2 linked regions of the Oryctolagus cuniculus genome follow. The protein of the gene in region 1 purifies or fractionates together with the protein of each later gene. This does not show direct contact. Links are inferred from orthologs where the notes say so. Each region holds a gene or a part of one and is shown on either strand. Other genes may lie near its edges.

Evidence for each region. Proteins that work in one complex are often made in the same cells at the same time.
Region 2: the proteins of CD151 (region 1) and ITGB1 purify together in Homo sapiens (affinity purification with western blotting; 4 studies listed by BioGRID and IntAct, with this or other methods). This does not show direct contact. The link is inferred for Oryctolagus cuniculus from reciprocal best matches to the Homo sapiens genes CD151 and ITGB1.

Annotation. Positions count from the first base shown.
Region 1 is NC_091432.1:348,230-352,513, forward strand, and holds the start of CD151 (CD151 antigen), read left to right. Parts: upstream 1-1,484; 5' UTR 1,485-1,638; intron 1,639-2,539; 5' UTR 2,540-2,595; intron 2,596-3,348; exon of another isoform or gene 3,349-3,381; 5' UTR 3,382-3,388; coding exon 3,389-3,472; intron 3,473-3,551; coding exon 3,552-3,743; intron 3,744-3,823; coding exon 3,824-3,898; intron 3,899-4,017; coding exon 4,018-4,122; intron 4,123-4,198; coding exon 4,199-4,284. Other genes in the region: CRACR2B (EF-hand calcium-binding domain-containing protein 4A), read left to right, coding at 33-125, 257-423, 546-617, 696-861. UniProt on the Homo sapiens protein: Structural component of specialized membrane microdomains known as tetraspanin-enriched microdomains (TERMs), which act as platforms for receptor clustering and signaling.
Region 2 is NC_091444.1:108,918,883-108,922,382, forward strand, and holds part of ITGB1 (integrin beta-1), read left to right. Parts: intron 1-251; coding exon 252-474; intron 475-2,272; coding exon 2,273-2,443; intron 2,444-3,500.

The DNA of each region.
Region 1 (4,284 bases):
CCAGCGGAGGCTCAGGTGCCCGCGCGTTCCAGAACCCGCCGCGGGAGGAGTGGAGGGGCCGCCTGGAGGTGGAGCTGCAGAGCTGCGAGCAGGAGCTGGAGCGCGCGGGGCTGCGGCAGCGGGAGGTGAGCGCGCAGCCCTCGCCCCTCCCCAGCGCTCCTGGCCCTGCCGAGGTCCCGGGCCCCGGAACGGGCGGGCGCGGCTCCCCGGGAAGCGGCGGGCCTTCCTCGCCAGCCTCCGCCCCCGACACCCGCAGCTGGAGCAGCAGTTGCAGGCCCGCGTCGCGGAGCAGCTGGAGGCGCAGGCCCAGAACGCCCAGCTGTGGCGCGCCCACGAGGCGCTGCGGGCGCAGCTCGAGGGGGCGCAGGAGCAGCTTCGCAGGCTGGAGGGCGACGCGCGGGGTCGCCAGGAGCAAACGCAGAGGTGCGGCGGGCGGGGCAGGCGCGGCCCCGGCCCGGGCCACTTCCACCCCCCAGGGCCTGCGGGGCAGGGGAGGGGTCTCCCCAGCGGTCCGCCGCATCCAGGCCGCCCCTCCCCGCCCGCAGAGACGTGGTCGCGGTGTCCAGGAACATGCAGAAGGAGAAACGCAGCCTGCTGCGGCAGCTGGAGCTGCTCAGGTGCGGGCGGGCGCCACGCAGCCCCGGCCCCTCCGGGAGGGCAGGGACCCCTCCGACCTCGCCTTCTGCCTTCCCCAGGGAGCTGAACACGCGGCTCCGCGACGCGAGGGACGCCTGTGAGGCCCGGCTGCTGGGCCCCGGCCGCAGGAAGGCCCCGGCCACCGCCTGCCCGCCCGGGCCCACGCTGGGCGGCTGGACTCGTCCCCCCAGACGTGGCTCCGGCCACCTTCCCAGTGCACGCTGACCGGCCCGAGCCACGCACAGGGCGTTAGCGGGACAGGGCGCGCCTTGAAGCCCTGCGGGCGCAGGGGCCGAGTAGGGGTTGGGGGGCAGTGGGGCGTCTTCCTCCTGTCCGCATCGGTGTCCAGCGGGGAAAAATCATAAAAACTGCCAAATAAAGTCCAGGGACTGCACTGCCTCGTCCTCGGCGTCGTGCAAGTGCGCGGTACCTGTGCGGGGCACGTGGCCCTGGTGCGGGGCGGGGGGCTTCCGGCCGTGGGTCGTCACCCGAGCCCTCACCGTCCCTTCCGTGGGACCTGGCGGCCAGTGGAGGTTCCCACGCTCACCAGCCAACCCCGAGTGCGTTTCCCGGCACGCAGCCCTGCCAACCGAACTGACAGACTGACAGACCCCCGGGGGTGGGGGCCCAGACGCACCGGCGCGAAGCCCCCTCACCCTCCCCCGCCCCGGGCCGGCCTCGGTTCTGCCGACGCGGGGAGGCCGCCGGATCTCGCCGCTGTCGGGGACCTCCGCGCGGTGGTCTCTGCCTCCTTTCCAGCCCCTCCGCAGCCCCGCTTCCCTCCGCCGAGGCCCGCACTTCGCGAAGCCGGCTCAGACCTGCCTGGCGCTGTCTGCGGGCCGCGGGCGTGGCCCCGTCCAGGGGGCGGGGCCCGGCGCCGCGGGCGTGGCCGCAGCTCGTGTCGGGGGCGGGGCGTCTCGCCAGCGGCCCCTGCCGCGCATTCTCCGCTGGAACCGCCGCCCCCGCAGCGCCGCAGCCCGGGCCGACTCCGACGCGTGGCCGGTGAGTGCGCGGCCGAGCCGGGCCGAACGAGCGAAGCCGATGGCCCGCAGCCCCTGCGCGCCTGGTCGCGGGGCCCGGCGTTTGCGCGCGGGAGGCTACGCCCGCCGGACGCGGCCGCAGGCCCTTCCGGGGGAGCCCGGCGCCAGGCGGTCGGGGTGGGGGAGGCGCCTCCCGAACCCTGGGACTGGCGGGCGTCCCCGCCGTGCGCGGAGCCCTGAAACTCCCAGCCCGAGCGCCCCACGCAGTGTCTCCGACCCCGGCCCCTTCCCTCCGCCCGCAGGCCCACCCCTGCCCTGTGCATATGGGCGGGCCCCGGCCCCAGCGGTGACCTCACCGCAGACTGCGCCCGAACCCGCCAGCTGCGGAGCCCCGGAGCCCCCGCACTGGGGCGCGGGAGAGGCCCGGGACGGCTCTGCGCGCGGCCGCTGTATCTATTTCTGGCCACCCAGGCTCCCACGCTCCTGTCCCCGGGGGCTCACGGCCACCAGCCGTCCCTGGAGGGGCCGCCCTGCCTGGCCGGGTGGCGGGGATCCGGTCCAACCCCAGTAGCCTCACAAAGCCTGGGGCCTCTGAGTCAGCCCCAGGGGCACAGCTGTGCGTGGCCCCGGGAGTTGATGCGGGGAGTCTGAGTTCCCCAGCGGCGTGGGTGGAACTTGGGGGGTTGTGCCCCGCTAGCTGCTCTTTCGTGGGCGGAGGGCATGGGTGGGGCGAAGCCCCTCCCAGGATCGGACTGTCCGAATGCCTTTTCTGCCCCACCCTTGTCCAGACAAAAATACCGGGCCTGGCCACTGCTGGCCAGTTTTCCCGGGGGCCCTGGCCACGGCCTTGGTGGCTAGGAGGCTGGGGCAGGGTTCTGCCTGTCCGCAGGAGCCAGGCCAGTAACCTGTTACCTGCCCTGCAGCCCAGCTTCTTGGGAACTTCCGCCCACCTGTCCCAGAGACGTTGTTCCCGCCGCAGGTGAGTGCTGGGCGGGGCAGGAGGTGAAAGTGCAGCTGGGCTGCCCGTCTGCAAACCTGGCCCCGGGCGCCAGCCCCAGTCTGCGCCCGCAGGCCTCTCCCGGTGCCCCCCCAGCCCCAGTCTGCGCCCGCAGGCCTCTCCCAGTGCCCCCCAGCCCCAGTCTGCGCCCGCAGGCCTCTCCCAGTGCCCCCCAGCCCCAGTCTGCGCCCCCCAAGCCCCAGTCTGCGCCCGCAGGCCTCTCCCGGTGCCCCCCCAGCCCCAGTCTGCGCCCGCAGGCCTCTCCCAGTGCCCCCCCAGCCCCAGTCTGCGCCCGCAGGCCTCTCCCAGTGCCCCCCAGCCCCAGTCTGCACCCGCAGGCCTCTCCCAGTGCCCCCCAGCCCCAGTCTGCGCCCGCAGGCCTCTCCCAGTGCCCCCCAGCCCCAGTCTGCACCCGCAGGCCTCTCCCAGTGCCCCCCAGCCCCAGTCTGCGCCCGCAGGCCTCTCCCAGTGCCCCCCCACGGGGGGGGAACACCTGCCCTTCTGCTGACCCTCCAGCTCCTGCGCCTCGGTGAGGGTGGGCAGAGCCCTGTCCCCCGCCCCTGGGGTGCCTCTGCGGGCCCCTGTCCTGGGCCTGCAGCCCGCGGTGGGGCCGCGGGCAGGAGTGAGTCAGCAGGAGCCCTTGCCGGGTCCTGGGCTCCTGAGCCCTTCTCCCTGGGAAGTGACTCATGTCCTGTCTGCCCCCTGCGCCCGGGCATCTCCGGGTCCCCCGGCCAGGCGTGTGCCCGGGCCTCCGACCTCCCCCGCCAGCCCCAGGATGGGCGAGTTCAGCGAGAAGAAGGCCACGTGTGGCACCGTCTGCCTCAAGTACCTGCTCTTCACCTACAACTGCTGCTTCTGGGTGAGCAGGGGGGGCTGCCCGCGCCACCCGCCCCCCGCGCCCGGCCCCGGCCCGGCCTGACCCGGCACGCTGTCCGCAGCTGGCCGGCCTGGCCGTCATGGCCGTGGGGGTCTGGACGCTGGCCCTCAAGAGTGACTACATCAGCCTGCTGGCCTCCAGCACGTACCTGGCCACAGCCTACATCCTGGTGGTGGCCGGCGTCGTGGTCATGGTTACTGGCGTGCTTGGCTGCTGCGCCACCTTCAAGGAGCGGAGGAACCTGCTGCGCCTGGTCAGCGGTGGGGCCCCTGGGGGTGGGGTGGGGGGCTGCGCCCGTGGGGTCCGCCCAGAACGGGGGTGTCTGTCCCCTAGTACTTCCTCTTGCTGCTGCTCATCTTCCTGCTGGAGATCATCGCGGGCATCCTGGCCTACGTCTACTACCAGCAGGTGAGGGCTGGGGGGGGCAAGGCAGCGCCGCGGCTCACAGCGGGCCTGGGGGGGCGGGGGGCAGGCGTCCGGCCCCGCCCCCGCCCCCCCGCCTGACCTGGAAGAGCTGCCCCCCCCAGCTGAACGCAGAGCTGAAGGAGAACCTCAAGGGCACCATGACCAGGCAGTACCGGCAGCCAGGCCACGAGGGAGTGACCAGCGCGGTGGACAAGCTGCAGCAGGAGGTGGGTGGGGCCCAGGGGGGGCCTGGTGGCCGGGGCGGGCGTGGCGGCTCAGCCGACCCTGCTCTCGGCCCTGCAGTTCCACTGCTGCGGCAGCAACAGCTCGCGGGACTGGCGGGAGAGCGAGTGGATCCGCTCGAGCGAGGCCGGGGACCGCGTGGTCCC
Region 2 (3,500 bases), on another chromosome or scaffold:
GTAGCTGTTGATCCCACTGAATATGTGATTTCACCAAGAAATTCGTCTTCGGAATCAAAGAGTGAGACATTTAAAATGAACACTTAGTAAGTCAGTCCTGGGAAAGGTATGAGTTTTTCAGGAATGATTTTGTTGTTAAACAAGAGTGCTTTCTATGATTTGGATGAAGGGAGCATTTTGTTTAAAAGGTAGAAATGAGCTATATTATATGCCCCTCTTTGTACTCTGACTTGTGTTTTAATGTCGTTTAGACGTTTTTGCAAGAAGGAATGCCTACTTCTGCACGATGTGATGACTTAGAAGCCTTGAAAAAGAAAGGCTGCCATCCAGACGACATAGAGAATCCCAGAGGTTCCAGAGACATAAAGAAAAATAAGAATGTCACCAACCGTAGCAAAGGCACAGCAGAGAAGCTGCAGCCGGAGGATATCACTCAGATCCAGCCCCAGCAGCTGGTTCTGCAGCTGCGATCAGGTGCGGGCCCAGCCATCTGCCCCTGAAGTGCCGTCCTCACAGGCAGGCCCCCAGTCCAGCTGACGCTGGCCAGCTTTACAGAGTTTTCTGAAAACACACAGCTTGTGAAATGCATATTCCTGGAGTAATGTTAAATGTTGCCATCGTCAGAAGTAAAATCTGCTAATGATTCGGCAAGTGTGAATTAGACTTAATGGGCTTTACAAGTATTGTCCATTTTCTGATTTGATTACATTATATAAAGGCAACCTTTTTTATTTATTTATTTATTTTTTAACTTTTATTTAGTAGATGTAAATTTCCAAAGTACAGTTTATGGATTACAATGGCTTTTCCCTCCCATAACTTCCCACCCACCCATAACCCTCCCATCTCCTGCTCCCTCTCCCGTTCCATTCACATCAAGATTCATTTTCGATTATCATAAAGGCAACATTGTAATGTTTCCTTTCTTGTGCAGTATTTTAAAATTATTCTTGGTCAGTGTCTGTGGCAGTGTGTGACCCACTCCTGTGCTGTGTCAGGAGGTGGTGGTGCTCGGTCCCCCTCACCCTGGCCCCTGCGCTCACACTGAGCCTGGTGCAGTCCACCTGCTGCTGAGTCCACTGTAGCACAGCCGCTGCACTGGGCTGACACCACAGCTCGTGCGCCTGCTGGTCTGTTCTGACCCTCCTGCACCCAGGATGGTGCTCCTGGCTTCTCTGAGCTTTCACTGTTGGTTTCTAGGCTTTTGTGTCTCTTCCTGTCCCCATCTCTGTGGTCCACTTTACAACTTGGCTTTCCTGTCATGATTTAAAAGCTGCAGCAACACAAACTTTTCTGTTGAGCTCCAAACAGTTCCTCTGACCTGTCTCCCAGAACTGTCTGTAGACAGGATTTTTAACCATGTTTCACCTGAACCTCTCATTCTCCTGTGTTTCGTGACTGAAGTATGCCGACAACTCTGTCTCCAGTTCTCTATCCTCACTGTTTCAATTCAGATCTTCATCACCTCCCCTTGAATTTTCCATCATTCCTTAACTGGTCTTTGACTCTATAATCCAATTGTAAAACTTTACCCAGATTTTCTAAAGCAGAAATCGTATTCTGTGATTTTCTTTCATGTGGTGGCTTCCTGTGACCAAGACCTGAGTTCCTTTAGAATGCCAGTCTCTAGAATGAGAGTCAGCCCTGTGACCTATCCAGCCCAAGACCGTTGAAAAATGGATGATTTAGACATAGATTACCTAGTGTAGGTTGGGCATGTTGCCTTTTTATTTTTTTAATTTTTTTTTTTTTATTTTTTGACAGGCAGAGTGGACAGTGAGAGAGAGAGACAGAGAGAAAGGTCTTCCTTTTCCGTTGGTTCACCCCCCTAATGGCCGCTACTGCCAGCACTGCGCCGATCCGAAGGCAGGAGCCAGGTGCTTCTCCTGGTCTCCCATGGGGTGCAGGGCCCAAGCACTTGGCCCATCCTCCACTGCCTTCCTGGGCCACAGCAGAGAGCTGGCCTGGAAGAGGGGCAACCGGGACAGAATCCGGTGCCCCGACCGGGACTAGAACCCGGTGTGCCGGCGCCGCAGGTGGAGGATTAGCCTATTGAGCCGTGGTGCTGGCCGGCATGTTGTCTTTTTCACCCCGAGGTCTGGAGTGTCAAGTATTGGTTGAATGAAATTGAGTATAGACCCAGTGAGTTTTGTTAAGTTTATGACAGTGCATTTCATCTTGCATTGTTGGCCCTGTAAATCAGATCCATTTGGTTTTCTCACTTGTTCTTGGTTCTTGGCTTGCTAACATCTTTTCTGACCCGTTTGGCTAGGGGAGCCCCAGACGTTCACGTTGAAGTTCAAGCGTGCTGAAGACTACCCCATCGACCTCTACTACCTCATGGACCTCTCCTACTCCATGAAAGATGATCTGGAGAACGTCAAGAGTCTCGGGACGGATCTGATGAATGAGATGAGGAGGGTGACTTCAGACTTCCGAATTGGTAGGAATGTTGGGAAAATTAGTAGTTTTCCTTCTTTGTTCTCCAGGCCAGTTTTTAGCTCTTCCCTTCTGAGAGGAAACATCATCTGTGTAACAGGCGCTCTGCCTCTGGGCTCCTGTATCCCTGTGTGCTCAGCACAGATGAAGAAGTCGTGCCTGTCCTCACAGTTCACCCACTCATGTCCACCCGCGGGTACGGCCTTGTCTCACTCAGACCCAGTTTGCCATGCTGTGATGTTCTGCTTTCCACCCTTCCTTTCCTGTCCTGTGCATCTCCAGGCTTGCCTGCTCGTCGCCGGCTGTCTCCTGCTCCTGCCGCACCCAAGGTGTTGCAGCAGAGTGCTGGAGAAACTGGACAGCCTCCTTGTGGCCAAAAAGCTGCCTTTTAAAAATTAACTCTGTTTTAGAAGAAACCTTGAAAAACTTAAAGTGCCATTGTATTCAGTAGGCACAGTTCAGGGACCATGGAAATAGTAAGTTCTTAAGCAAGGTAGTCTTTTTGAAGTGGTCAGAATTCCAGAACATTCATTTATTCATCCATCCATCCAACGTGGCACTGTGGAGAACTGAGGATACTAAGAAAGTCAGTGTTCATTATTTTTATTTTATTTTTCTAAAGATTTAATTTATTTGAAAGGCAGAGTTAGAGATAGATACATACATACATAGAGAGAGGTCTTCTATCCACTGGTTCACTCCCCAGATGGCTGCACCAGCCACAGCTGGGCCAGACCAAAACCAGGAGCTTCCTCTGGGTCTCCCACATGGGTGCAGGGACACAAGCACTTGGGCATCTTCCACTGCTTTCCCAGGTACATTAGCAGGGAGGCTGCACTGGAAGTAGAGCAGCTGAGACTCCAACTGGTGCCCATGTAGAATGCTGGCACTGTGGGCGCAGCTTAACCTATTTAGCCCCAGTGCTGGCACCAATGCTCATTATTTTTAAAGTGGGTAGGCAGAAGATGGATGTACAGCTCAGTCCTGCTGGGCAGCTGGAACCAGACAGCTCACAAACCACAGGAATGCATCACTCACATTTCAGGAGGCCAAGCAGTCCA